Drosophila melanogaster: one gene and its partners. The protein of the gene in region 3 interacts with the protein of the main gene of each other region in a pairwise test. Each region holds a gene or a part of one and is shown on either strand. Other genes may lie near its edges.

The links. The genes of interacting proteins can lie anywhere in the genome.
Region 1: the proteins of CG4282 (region 3) and Dora interact in a two-hybrid assay, tested with the Drosophila melanogaster proteins (one large-scale study listed by BioGRID).
Region 2: the proteins of CG4282 (region 3) and Fer3 interact in a two-hybrid assay, tested with the Drosophila melanogaster proteins (one large-scale study listed by BioGRID).

What each region holds. Positions count from the first base shown.
Region 1 is NC_004354.4:18,861,691-18,866,977, reverse strand, and holds the start of Dora (dorado), read right to left. Parts: upstream 3,029-5,287; 5' UTR 1,539-3,028; coding exon 1,259-1,538; intron 1-1,258. Other genes in the region: CG7326 (uncharacterized protein), read left to right, coding at 3,296-4,744. UniProt on the Drosophila melanogaster protein: Substrate recognition component of a SCF-like E3 ubiquitin-protein ligase complex that promotes target-directed microRNA degradation (TDMD), a process that mediates degradation of microRNAs (miRNAs).
Region 2 is NT_033777.3:11,692,882-11,696,194, forward strand, and holds Fer3 (48 related 3), read right to left. Parts: upstream 1,431-3,313; 5' UTR 1,346-1,430; coding exon 1,207-1,345; intron 1,141-1,206; coding exon 692-1,140; 3' UTR 529-691; downstream 1-528. UniProt on the Drosophila melanogaster protein: Transcription factor that binds to the E-box and functions as inhibitor of transcription. DNA binding requires dimerization with an E protein. Inhibits transcription activation by ASCL1/MASH1 by sequestering E proteins.
Region 3 is NT_033778.4:16,320,171-16,325,544, reverse strand, and holds CG4282 (uncharacterized protein), read right to left. Parts: upstream 3,360-5,374; 5' UTR 3,214-3,359; coding exon 3,210-3,213; intron 3,111-3,209; coding exon 1,754-3,110; intron 1,692-1,753; coding exon 1,301-1,691; intron 1,239-1,300; coding exon 1,032-1,238; 3' UTR 744-1,031; downstream 1-743. Other genes in the region: CG30096 (uncharacterized protein), read left to right, coding at 3,649-3,672, 3,727-3,975, 4,032-4,418; CG8060 (uncharacterized protein), read left to right, coding at 4,888-5,055, 5,122-5,374.

The DNA of each region.
Region 1 (5,287 bases), on a different chromosome or scaffold from region 3:
AAAAATGATTAAGATTGAGCAAAGTTCAGCTAGTTTTGCCTAGTACATATACTATATTTTGTAATACTAGTGCTTAGTATCAATAAATATCAATAAAATCAACAAGCTGGTAACCCTGGCTATCAAAGAATCCACAAAGAAGACAACTGAATGGTTGGAGGTTCTTTGGCGGCTTTGCCGCTCTGTTTAGTCCTTTGACCCTTCCAAATATAGTCCTGTTTCCCCCCACAGCAACACTGCTCAGTCAAACAAAGGAAAATAAGCAAACGAATGCAGTGGATGGGCAAATGACGAAGACGAATGGAGGATACGAAAGAGAAACAGCGACGAGGACGAACTGCGCAGTCGCAGCCAGATATCCAGATATTACATGATGATAGTGCTGTGCGGCGGCGCACAGGATACAGAAAACGTGTAAGGAACGTCTCTTGGCAGGCCCGAAACAAAAAAAAAAAACAATACCCCAGCCACATGCACAAGCGTAATGAGCCACAGGGAAAGACAAAGGGACGCAACAAAAAGGTAAAAAGGAAACTCGTATAAACGAATGAAAATAAAAAACGTTGGCAGCCAAAGTCGTGATTTTGACTTCAGCGATAAGCAGAGGACTTCGAGGAAATGCGGGGAAACGAAGAAGACAATTGCAGACAGAGGGCAACAACAATTACAGCCTGCTCGTTGTTGTGCCTAAGTCAATTTTACAGAATTTACCAAAAGCGAAAAGGTCATGCGTATAATTACAGGCAGCACAGTGTAGCCATATTGCAAATAGCCAAATGCGACCAAGCTAGTAAAACATAGAACTAAAGCATATCACTCTACTTAGCTTAAAAAGTAAATTGTGTAGCAAGTAATTGATTATTTAACGCTATACGGATATAAATCTGTATAAAATGTACATGTAAGTTTCTCATTGTAAAGGGAAAGTTATAGGTATAAACTATTTTGGTTGCCTTATGGTTTTAAAAACAATTAAGGAAGTCAATATCTTTTGTATGCGACATATGAAAGCTTCTTATGAGAAAGTCTTTCTTAATTCCTGAATAAAAGAGGATACTTTTTTGATATCTTTAGGACGCACACTTTTCGAACTCTAAAAACTGTCAATGTTGTACAATGTTTTTCGGATTTTAAGAAGCTCTCTTCAGTTTAGATTTGTATCTGTGATTTTCACAACTGTAGTTTCACTGGTGTAATGCTCAATGGTCCGGGTACACTGCCCTAAATCCCGCCCTAGCAACAAGGAGATGCTACTCACCATAATGTCTGCCGCAGGTGGATGTGTTGGCCATGGCCGTTCCATTGCCGCCCGGTGTGCAGGAACCAGAGGCTCCTGCTCCTCCGAACGGCGGTGCTCCTGAGCCGCCGGCCACAGCCATACCGCCCATGCCGCTCAAGCCGCCATTGCCTGCGCCGCTGCCTGCAGCGGGCTTCTTCCAGCCGCGCCAGTTGTTGCACAGCGATTCCGGTTCAGAGCTCCAGCTGCAGAGGGAGTCTTCCTCGAAGCGGATGGAGTCGTCGAAGCTGAAGCGGTCCATTTCCTCCGGATTCCATTCGTTGGCCGCTGCTCCTGCAGCGTCTCTGCCCGCCGCTCCGGCTCCTGCGCCGCCTCCTGCTGCTCCTTCGGCGCCAGCGCCGACTGCAGCCGCTCCTCCGCCTCCTCCATTGTTGTTGTTGTTACCGCCGCCTCCTCCTCCTCTGTTGTTGTTGCCGCCGTTGCGATTCGCCAGCGTGAGGCTGAGATTGTGTGTGTTTACAGTTGCTCCTTCTACTGCTGAAGCTGATTCTTGTTCTTCTTCTTCAGCTGCTCCCCCGTTTGTTTGTTTTCCTCAGCTTCCTCTTCCTCCGTCTCTCTCACTGTTACTCTCCTCTCTTTTTGGATGGATGTATATGTATAATGGATCTCTGCCAAACGCTCAATTTAAAATCGTGTAAAAGGCGAATTTCTCTTGAGCGTTCTTCTCTTCCTCTTTTCTCTCTCGCTGTGTTCCTCTCCTTCGGTTCTCCCCTTTCAAACTCAAGCACACTGCCGGACTCGCTTGCTTTTAATTAACTTATTAACTGTAGATTTATGCTTAGGGCTCTAAGTTTCCCTTTTAGACTTAACTTTAGGTTTAGATTTAGATTTTGGGGAGTTTAAAAACTATTTTTGTTTATATGTACAAAATACGTTCAGTGCGCCGCGGTCTCTGTCGCTGCCTCTGCCCGCGTCGACTGCGACTGCTATTGTTTGTTGTCGTTGTTGTTGCATGTGAACTTTTTCGTATCCCCCAACGAACGAGAGAGCGAGATGGGGCTATGCTATGCGACTGCCGAAATAAGAGGGCCAATTTGTAGTTGTAGTTCTTGTTGTTGATGTTCTTGCTTCTGTTATTATTGTTGATGTGGTTCTTGCTGTTGTTGTTGATTTTGCAGGGGACCCCCAGTCGTTGTTATTGTTGTTAACGCTCCTCTTTTATCCGCTCTGCGCTTTGCAGTCCGCTTTGCCGTTAATTATTTTTTCACTCCTTCGCTTTGTGGCTCATCTTCGCTTTATCCTGCGCGCACCGCACTCACTCTTTCTCGCTCGCCCTCACTCACTCACACAGCAGTAGCAGCAGCAACAACAACGTTGCACACAACATCAATATATTGGATATATATCAACACTTTTTCGCCTGCGTGCTTGTCAGTGTGTGTGTGCATGCGTGCGCTTGTCGATTTTCACTGCCTTCTTTTCTTTGTGTGTGTATATGCGCTGCGCGTTGTGTTTGTCTGCGTCTGTGCGTGTGTTAGGTTTACGTGTGTGTGTGAGTGAACGAACGAAATGCGTTTAGCGAACGTTTTTTTAAAAAATCCTTAAATTTTTTGTGGATTTTGGCGATTACCGACACTTAAAACGGCACTGCACACGCGTCCCCGAAAACAACGGCACCTAGATTCGCTGGCCGAGTTACGATTTGTTTGATGCTACGCACGGTTTTCGGACACTTTTACACGGGGCTTTGTTTTTACCCATCGCATCGTCGACTCTTTTGCTCCTAAACGTTGTTGGTGTTAGTGGTCAGCGATAGTGCTCACACACTCGATATGGGTTTTCGATCATTTTCGGCTGAATATTCGATAAGGTCAATAGTATCGGTTTTCCGCGTACGATTTCCCAGTTTTCAAATGACGGTCACACTGACATTCATTCTTGACAATCGATAGTTTTTGTCGAGTGACGCTCTTAATATCGAAAAACCATAAGTAACGATAGGCCCATTTTGTTGGTGGTGTTCACAATCTTCTCGCGCTTTCCCAGGAACTGGTCAAGATGCCCATCGCCGGGCTGTGCATCGAACTGCGCCCGAACCTACGCAGCGGCGTGGTCTTCCTGCGATTCGACCAACAGGTTTCGCAGAGCCAGAAGACTCGCGTCGTCGTCCGCGACTACAATGTTTATATCAGCGAGAAACCTAAGAATCAGGCAATCGACTTGGATTCCAGCTCCGAAAGCGACAGCGAGGACTCCGACAAGCTGATGCTCATCCGGCACGCGCAGTATGGTATGGACATTGTCTGCCTGTCCACGTTCTTGGTCAGTGGCAGGAACATCAGTTTCCGCTTCAACTACAACCAGATTGATCTGGCCAGCGTGGATGGAAGCGCTGTGGACGTGCCTCTGGCGCCACTACTCCTCTCCTGCCAGGAGAACGAGCCCATCACTATCAACTGTCGTGATTGCCGAGCGGAATTGGTGGCAGGCCGAAGCTATCGCAGGTTGAGGGAGTTTCCCAGCCTCTTGGTGGATCCCACTGAGTTCTTTTGCCACAATCATGGACCAGCGGGCAAGACCCAACCAATTAGCTTAGTGCCCGCCGAAACGGATCTTTTCTATGGCCTCAACTATGTGGTCATCAACTTTAACGAAGAAAGTTCGTGCATGCTCAATCGCGACGATCACTTGTACTGCCAGCGCTGCATGCGTTATTTGGGGCTGACCATGTTCGATGGCGCCGCCGCTCGCATCTGGGCTGATGCAGTACGTTGGCGTCCCGCAGGAGCGGCGACAAATGCCCCCGATCGCCACTTCTTCCAAAACTCCACGCTAACGCAGCTTTTCAAGCGTCTGCTGCACTCGCTGTGGCCTCAACCGTTGCCTCAGCTCTGTTTGAACACCAGTCGTGCGGTGCTGGTCACCTCGCTGCCCAACCGAAATCAGCAATACATGTTTTTGCACGTGGTGGAGTCACAGCTGCGTGTGCTGCGTCGCATTCGCCCAAATTCGAACCGACTACGCTGCTTTCGCGCCTGCAAGCTGTACTACGGCGTTTTTGGAGCCAATCCGCCGCTGCTGGAGAAGTGGCAGGCGCAGCAGACGCTGCCCCAAATGGATGTATCACCGAACATGTTCCTAAAGATTCAGAAGCGCCTCGAGACGAATGGCCACTTGATTCCGGACGCCTTGAGCACGAACTGTGCGGAGGAGCACCTGCAGTTGTCGTACTTCTTTTATGAGAACGAGGATCAACACGACGGCGGGGTCGTCGCTTCGGATGTGTTTACGGATCAAATGAGCAACGTGTATCAGAAGGAGGTGGATCCGTACGAGACGGATGCAGGACATGCCAGCGAGAGCGATGACGAGTACTCGGATACGGACACCGCTTCGGGGGACACGGCGGCTTACTCGCTCGGCATGCGTACCCTGCAGAAACGCAGCCCCACTCCGCCGCGGTCTTTCGCCAAAATGGCCACCTCCGCCTCGCCGGAGGACAAGTAGTGACCCAATCCGATTCAAAAATCAAGCATAGCTTGTATGTCGGAAACTATGTTACTTGTTTTCACTATACAAAGACGGACTTGGCCCAATAATTTGTCAAAGATATTTTTTTTTTAAAGTTAGCCCTTGATTGATAATCAATTCCATCCAAAATACTTTACTATGCCTTTGATTCAAATCCTCACATCCTTTGCTTTTGTTTATCGTTATACATTCGCTTAGAATGAATTAACAGTACGCGGAATTGATAACGCCAAAGACTATTTATTGTTTTGTGAAGAAAATTTTGATTTTATTGCTTGACTCGATCGTTATATATATATATGTATATTATATATAGTTTAACAAACGTTTTGCAACAAGTATTAGCTGGATAAACGACTTCTATATATATGTATGTACTAGCACAAATGCAGTGCGTTCCGTGACTGTAAGTGCCAATGTCTTGGCCTTACAGCTGCGAAACGCACTGCACATGTTTTGAAGAAAAGTAAGAAGATTGTTTGCTTTTGCTTACACTTTGACGTTCCCTATTAATTCACT
Region 2 (3,313 bases), on a different chromosome or scaffold from region 3:
ACGCTTTGTTTGCCTTGTCAAATTTTGTATAATAGTTTTCTTTCCATTCGTGATTTGTATGCAATGTGACTTCATTGGGACCACCGAATGGACCTGGGCATGTGTTGCCTTTCCAGCTGCACAAATTCGCACGCAAATCACGACATGGTTCGCTTTGGTTTTGGCTGGGTTTTTTTTTTTAAAACAAGTGCGGGTTCTACTTAGGGGGATTATCAGGTGTACTTCGGTGGTACTTTTGGCTTTAAAGTCACCACCCAGTTTAGACAATCACTTTGTTTACCATTTCGAAAACTAAATTGGATTATCCACTGATTTTGTTTAATTGTCCTCTCCTTTTCCTTTTCTATCACAAATAATAATAATAATAACTGCAATACAAAAAATATCTTTTTACAGTATCCATTTAAGTGCAAAAATTCAATGTTCTGGCTAATTTAATTGCTCCCATGAATATAAATTCTTGATGTTCATGTGACCAGTCATAATTCACTTTTTAAAGAAATTACATTTGAAACAATAAATTTCTTTCTTTTTAATATTTTTTAATATTTCTATTGCTTTTTAAACAATATATAAAGTTTTAAGAAAACATTATTTATCTATTCCTATAATTACAATATTTTAACAAAACTGATCTGACGAGAAGCAGTTTTAGCATTTATTTGAATATTGGATTTCCTGAGAAATGTCACTAGGACAAACTATGATTATAGGGCGAAGCGAAATCGCGTTGATATGCCGCCGCCGGATGCAGATGATGTGGATGAATTGCCGGTGGTGGCGCCTGATGGTGACCATTCATACTCCCATAGACGTCGGACCGCGATTTGTGGGAGTTCGAGGGCGTGCCGCTCAGCAGCTCAGCCATGAATCCGATGTAGGTGATGGCCAAGCGAAGGGTTTCGATGCGGGACAGTCGTTTCTCGTAGGCGAAGGTGGGCACCTTGCGGCGCAACTTGTCGAAGGCCTCGTTTAGGTTAAACATGCGACGGCGTTCGCGGATATTTGCAGCTCTCCGTTGGGCCATTGATGCCACACGGCGACGCGTTTTCTTCGAGGAGCTGGAGGAGCCGTTGGCCCTCCCATTTGTCGACGGACGCTGGGGCACCAAAGGAGTTACTTGCGAGCGCTGCCACAGAGCTTTAGAATAGAAAAACATCTTAAGCACTTCCATTCCAAATTCCAAATTCCGTTTGAGGTACTTACACAAGTCGGTGCAGGGAAAACCGGCGATGAGCTCTTGGTATGGAACAATGGGCGGCGGTGGAGCCTCCTGACCCCAAAGCGGCTGGAATGGAACATCCGGCATGTAGGTGGGCTGGTCAATGGGATGTGGATGCTGCATGACTGTCTATTGTATTGGATGATACTGCAATTGGAAGACCTTGGGTCTGTTCTGCTTGGAAGACTGTGTTGCAATAAATTCTGATTGTCCTCACGGGCTGCGAAGTCAGCTCGGTGCTGTTCCGAATTTTGCTTATTGGATTTTCCTCCCCGGCGGATGGCAGCATCTGCTTAGAGGCCATTTTGGATTGGCAACAGTTTGGTGCGATCCGATTGGTCGTCCTTGCTGGGGGGTTGTTGAGGTGAAATCTGATGTTCTGACTTTCAAATCTGATTAGATCAGGCATATCGTACTGAATAAAAAAATTATTTTTTTTTAACCAATTTGCAGATTTTTTGATAATAATCTATTGTTACCTATAGCTAACCAAATGAATTGAACTGGATTAAGACTAATACTTAGCACGCTCAAATAACCGGTTTACGTATATTTTGGTATAGGAATACAAATTTTTAATTTATTTTTTACCATAATAACATATTGTATAAATTCAAAAATAGCTGTGCAGTTCTTGACTGTGGCAAAGAGAACAAGCATTCCAGAATATTAGAATATTATTAGAATCCTAATATTAGCATATTAGAATATTATTAACTTATGTCAAAGAGAATTCTTAGTTACTACTCCAACCCTCGAAACGGTTATGTGCTGCTGGTGGATGTCTTGAATATTATACACAGTGCTTTCGAGACAGCCGTGACACGAACCGTTTTCGGAAAATAACCGGTTAGCAACTCGGTTTTTAAACCTGTCACAAAGTTCTTTTAAATTTTAAGTTTTTTAGTTTTGTTAATTAGAAATTCTCTAAGGTTATATATATTTAAAAAATGTTCTGCTTAGTTGTATTCAATGTCAAATCATTTATTATTTAAGTTATTCAACCGAAATAGCATTTATGCCGTTAGTCTCCTCCAATCTGTTGCATGCATTTGTTTTTGTTTATAAGTGACTCTCTGGGAGTCCTGCTGCGTATTCCGCTCTCCTGCTGAATAGGGTTCAGTGCACCTGCGCGGATAATTACGCCGGCTTTTTGCTCCCAATCGGAATCTCTCTAAGATTTTGATGCTATGGAGATGAAAGGCATTCCCCCAATTCGGGCAAGTATTTAGCCGCGTGGCAACAGGACAGCGTCCAAGGCTTAGAATGGAATGCGCTGACAGACTGAGGTAATCCTTTGATGGGAATTCGGAGGTCTGATTCCCCGGGGGGTCGTATCCAGCATTCGGAGGATTTCATTGTCGCTAAACTTTTCAATGGGGCTGATTGGAAAAGGGGCAAAACACGACTTCAACTGTGGGTTTGCATTCGAAAGTTCGTTTTTATGGCTCCAAATGAGGTTTCCAGTTTATTTATTTAGTTCGTTTTATGTTCTTCCAAGCCAGCGGAGTACTACTCAAGGGTGCTTCATTGTGTCAATAGCCTGAAATTGGATATGAAGTGCCTTCGATACTGTCAAACAGTAAGACAGACAGCTGCCATGAAGTGTACCCACTTTAATGGCTAAATCGAAGTTCAAAAGCGAGGGATTCCGGGTAAAAATAGTTTGAAAATTTGCATTCATTTCTATTCCAGCCATTAGACGGCGTCCGTTGGCTTGGTTTTCAAAAACAAACGAACTTCATCTTACGATTTGTGCACCAAAAAAAAAGAATATTCAAGTAACAAGAAATGTCTCAGACCATTTGTTTGTCTCTGTGTCTGAGCACTCGCCAAGATTTATGCCCTCTGTGATGGCAAACTCAGCGCACTCACATTATGAAAATGTAAAAATGTAAAATATGAAAATGTGGAAATTTGAATTTACTCCCCCTTCTCGTAGAGCTGTTTCTGCCATTTCCTAATTTTCCACGCAAATGCATTTTATTTATTACGCAATTTGGGGATTTGCACTGCCAGCCGCAATTGTAAGCGACATAAAAGCGCTTAGACTCCGACTCCGGAGCGTTAAACGAAGCATTAGCCCCAGTG
Region 3 (5,374 bases):
CGCAGCCAAATTTACACGCATTCTCCTTTTTTGTTCGTTTTTTGGTAGCTATACAATAAACATTTGAGTTACATTTTGTTTTACAACATTTTCGTCTCGTTTCGTGCTTATGCTCCACCACTTGGTATCTGTATCCGTGACTAACAGCCAACATACAAACAACATGCCCAAAATAAATTTAAGCCCGAAAATGGTGTCGCAAATCGCAAACTGAAACGTTCACGGAGCTAATTGTGCTAACAAATTTCCGATGCTATGGTACGTTTCGACTAAAGACAAACTAATAACCAACGGAAGTATTGTATTTATATAAATGTTGCCTAGAGATATCGATCGAAAATCTATAAGCAAAAAAATCTGCGCGCTGTTTGCATACATTAATCGCTGAGAAGATCCGCTCGAGCCTGTTTGTTTAACCCCGCGTGTGCGTTAACCCAATAAAAACCCAAAAAAAGAAAAACCATCATCAGCGATTGAGAGTCTACCACATGAGAACAATAATATTCTATGCGTATGTAAAGTTTTTCAATAATTCCTATTGCTAAATCGAAAATTGTGTACCGAGTTGTAGGCGAAACGTGAGAGAGATACAGTATCTATATATAAATATTTTAAAGTTATGCATACTATGTGTAAAAATGAAACGAATGAAACCATGTAAATGTCATTGCGTTATATAAGGTGCAATTAAGCCATCCTTGTAAATAATTATAAAGAAAGAAAGACATTCCCAACTTTGTTTTGTTATCAATTATTTGGATCGGAGCAGAGTCCAGTTCGCATTTATTATTAAATACTTTCAGCTTAGGACTAAGGTACAAAACGCCCTTTGAATATCAACTTTCACAGATTTCATTCGAAAGAGATTGTTTATACAATACGTTTAACTTTACGTTTTATAGACAAATAATTAAAAACTGTTGTGCGAATGTGTCATAATTTATAATATTGGGCAATTTGAATTTGACTCGAACTAATTCTGTGAAAGTGAAGAAAGGCGTTCGAATATTTTAAGCAATTCTCTTTCGGTGCTAGATTTCCTGTTTCGGCTTGTTTTGCGTCGAGGCGTTGCGCGAAATCTTCAGGATGTTGGGTGGCTTGGGTTGGTTTTTGTCCGCCTCGTATTGGGCGCGATGCAATCGCTGGCGATGCTTGTACATGTTGGCGGAGCAGAAGAATGTCATCGGGCAGTTGGGACAGGTGTAGAGTACTTCACCCGTATGAGTGGATGTGTGTTCCTACAAGAGGGGTTATACAAGTTTATCAATTAACATCAACTGGTCATGAGTTTCAAACTCACCTTGAGTTCCTGCGGCCGCTTGAAAGCCTTTTCGCACATGGTGCACTTAAACTTGCGCTCGCACTCGTGATTGTGGTAGATGTGACGCCGGAGAGCCCTTGCATTTGGGGACACCTTAGCGCATATATGGCAGCGATGCTCGCCGGCACTCTCTACGTGTATGCTCTTCATGTGCTGCTTCAGGCCGGTCATGCCCTTTAGCCAAGCGCCGCATATCTGGCACTGCTGTAGCTCCGGTTCCGGACGTGGCTTATCCGAGTGCATCAGCTCCTGGTGCTTCTTCAGGATGATCTTGGTGCGCATCTGCTTGCCGCACTTGTCGCAGATTATGGTACTCTCTGGGTCATGCATAGAGCTCATGTGGTTTTTCAGCTTGCGCTCGGTGAGAAATCTATTGCGGAATAGTAAACAAAAGGTGAAAAAGACATACAGACGCTTAAAGTATAAACCCACTTTTTGTTGCACTCGGAACAGGTGAACTTGAACTCGGACTTGGGCACATGCTTGTTAAGCTTGTGGTAGTCTATGGCCGTCTTGCTAAGGAAGGTCTTCGAGCAGAGGTCGCAGCTAAACGTAAGCTTAACGGCGGGATCCATGTGAACCTGCTGGTGCGACTCCAGGTGACGGGAATTTTGGAATGACTTCTCACAGACGCTGCACTTAAAGTGATCAGGATTCCAGTGGACGAGTACATGCTCGGCCAGCACTTTGCGCTGCGTGAACTTGCGGCCGCAGCACATCATGTAGCCGGGATCCACTTGATGGGTCAGTCGGTGATGACGCTGCATCTCGGTGAAGTTGTGCACCAGCAGATTGCAGATGGCACACGGCAGCACGCTGGTAAAGAACTTGGCGATGATGACGTCGTATTCTTCCTGCTGCTTTTTGCGCTGCTCCAGCAGTTCGCGGGACATGCGGACTTTCGGCTCCGCCGGTTTCGTCCGCTTCTTGTATTTCTTGGGGCGTACTACTGTTCTTTTTGGCAGCACGGCAAACTCTTGCTTTCCATTGTCCAGTTCAAAGTCTGAGTCTGAGTCGAAGCCATCGCTGCCTCCATCGTCCTCGGAGGAGTTATCGCTAGGCACCAGGCATGAGAAGTCAGGGTCCGTCTCCTCATCTACGAACTCGTCAAGCTCTTCTGCCTTAAGGTCAAGTTGAATGTCTTCTTTAGGTTTTTGGGGCGGGGCAACGGCAGCGTCTGATTTCCTTGGGCGACCACGTCGCTTTTTAGGCGGCGCAGGTTCTGCAGTCTCTTCTACTCCATCCTCGTCCTTATCCTTGTCAACACTTGATCCATCCTCTGCCTTCAAACGCTTCCTAAGGCGTCTGGCTGCACCCTCAAGTTGGTCCTGGTTTTCCTGGGTGTTGGCCGATCTCTCTAGGATCTCGATGCGGGGAAGAGTATCCAATTCATGTTCCTCAATCTTAATCTCTGGGTAAAAGAAGTTCCGACCGCCAAGTTCCTGTGGTTCCGTCACCCCTTCCTCCTCCTGAGTAGCCAGTTTTATAATCTCCGGAAAGGACGTAGTTTCCTGTGTTAGGGGATCATCCTCCATGAGCGCCACTTTTGTTTCCTGTAAAGAGCTCTGCGCTGCACTGACGAACTCGTGTAAAGTGTGGAAGTCTGAGACGATTTTCCAGCAGCGGCCGCATATCCTTTCGTCGCTTTCCTTGGAGATCTGGACGGGGAAGTGCTGGTTGACGATCGTAGTCACCTCCAATTGGTCGCCGCGCGCGGAGTGTACATCTATATAGTCCCCCATCATGGCCGGATACTCGCACATGCAGAGTAAACAGCTAGGAGAGGAATCTATTAAGATAGATAAAGAAAAAGTTTACAATTAGGACCACCAGCTTTAGGGGGAAATTCGATGCGGTCCAGCCGATTCCTTTACTGCCGCTGGCTTACCCATTGCGATTTGTAGACTTTGTTACAGATAATAAAAAGCCATTTAAGTGTTTGGGCGTAAAATGCAGTTTTTATTTACTTTACTAATTTGTTTAAAGCCGCAGTGCAATCAAAACGCCAGCTGTTTTGCAGTTCACAATAGCAGTGCAAGCTGCGGGGCCTTTACCAACACTGCCGATAACGATAGGCGATATCAAATCGGATTTTGGTCACTCTAATCGTTGTGCATTAAAAGTTATTGTTATTATTTACAATATCAAAGAAAAATGACCTGCTAATGCAGTGGGATTGAGTTATTCCATCATAAATTATCAAAGAAAACCATTCTTAATCAATACAATACAACGACAGGGTGAGAAATAGTACATACTATGAAATAAACGAATCGACCATTTGTTTACGTTTTACTTTCTTATTTGCAGAATATACGAATTCCAGAATGTCGGATTTGGGGAAAGATGTGGTAAGACTACTATAAACTGAGTGAAAACAACTTCTAAGTCCTTCGTATCCTTAGGCGAGCGAAGAAGGCTCCAATGGAAGCAGGGAAACCATTTGGTACACCATTGGAGAGCTTGTGGAAATGGTCGAGTGTCCAGGTTGTGGAATATCCATGGTATCGTTCAAAAATCGCTTCGCCCACATCAAGAAGTGCTTCAGCATCAAGAGACGAGGTCCTTTGTACAGGATTTATGGATATGCGGAGTGCAAGTGCGGCTTTCTTATTGCAGACACGGAAAAAGCCCGGAAACTGCATTGTTGTTCGGTAAATAAGCAGTGTGCTTAAGTATTGTAAGTATTACAAGGTTTCTGTTCATTTAGGGAAAACTTCGCCCCTGCAAGCCAATCATACCAACTGAGCCGAAAGTCCCGGTGACAAAACATGCTGAAGAACTAACATCAACTAAAAGGGAACAGGCTTTGCAGCCGTTGATTAGAAATTTTATCAGTCCCATCAAACAACAGGAGTTTCCATCTTTGGATATATCATATTCCAGTAAATATGATCCTAAACCAACATCGAGGCCACGCGTCCGTAACTTTGATAGACCACACAGAAGTCAAGCTCCAAAGGAAGTCTGTGTGTACTCCATAATTCGGAGGAATGGGGCTATCTCAGTGACAGGAAGATCCATCGTTAGGTACCGGGGTGGCAACGAAAACCTTGCCATACTTAAAAGGCGAGAATTAAAAATAAAATACGTATAACATAGTTATGTATAAGTAAACTAAGCTGTAGATAAGTCTGAATATTATGAAAGTAAATGTTGTCTCTTGTATTTATTAAGTTACATTTAATATTTTGCCTTTATTCAATCTTACCGATTGATGATAAGGCATCTATAAGTAATTTTCTTGATTAATGTAAACAAAAATAATTAATTTTGTAAATCAAAAGTTTTTTAAACACCAGCGTATAATGGTGTGTATTTAATGGTTAAAAGAAAAAAAGTGATAAGAAAGAAGTAGTGTAATATAAAAAGTATAAATGAAATTATATAAAGATAGCTATAAATTATGAAAATTCTATTGCATTTTAAATGAAGCGCCACATTACAGTTGAATTAAATTGGTTGGGTTAGGTTGGGTCTCCCACCTGGTCACACTGCACTCCGAGCAAAACAAAATAATCCACGTAAAAAACGTAATATCCCGGCGTTTATTTTTAAAATATCCGATGTCAGCCGCCAGGACGCAGGAATACGATTGCACCGCCAAGTGCAGACTCCGCCAGCATGGAAACGCCATCACCGCCGCGCTGACAAAGCGCTCCATTGACAACCAGAAGCTGGCGTCTTTTATTTTCAAGACTTGCGGAAACTTCGCCAATATTTTAGACGATCTGGTGCGTGGTGAAATTAGACAAGCCGTAGAAGGCAATTCATATGTTATCTTCATCTCGAAATTCTAGGGCCGCTCGGCGGTGCACATGTCCGCCTCCACGGCCAGGTACGAGATTTTGGAGTGGCTGCTGAACCACGGAGCCTACATCAATGGCCAGGACTACGAATCGGGAAGCAGTCCGTTACACAGAGCCCTCTACTACGGCTCTATAGATTGCGCCGTACTGCTGCTTCGTTACGGGGCCAGTTTGGAACTGCTGGACGAGGACACAAGGTGTCCACTGCAGGCAATCTGCCGGAAGTGCGATGACGATGACCTCG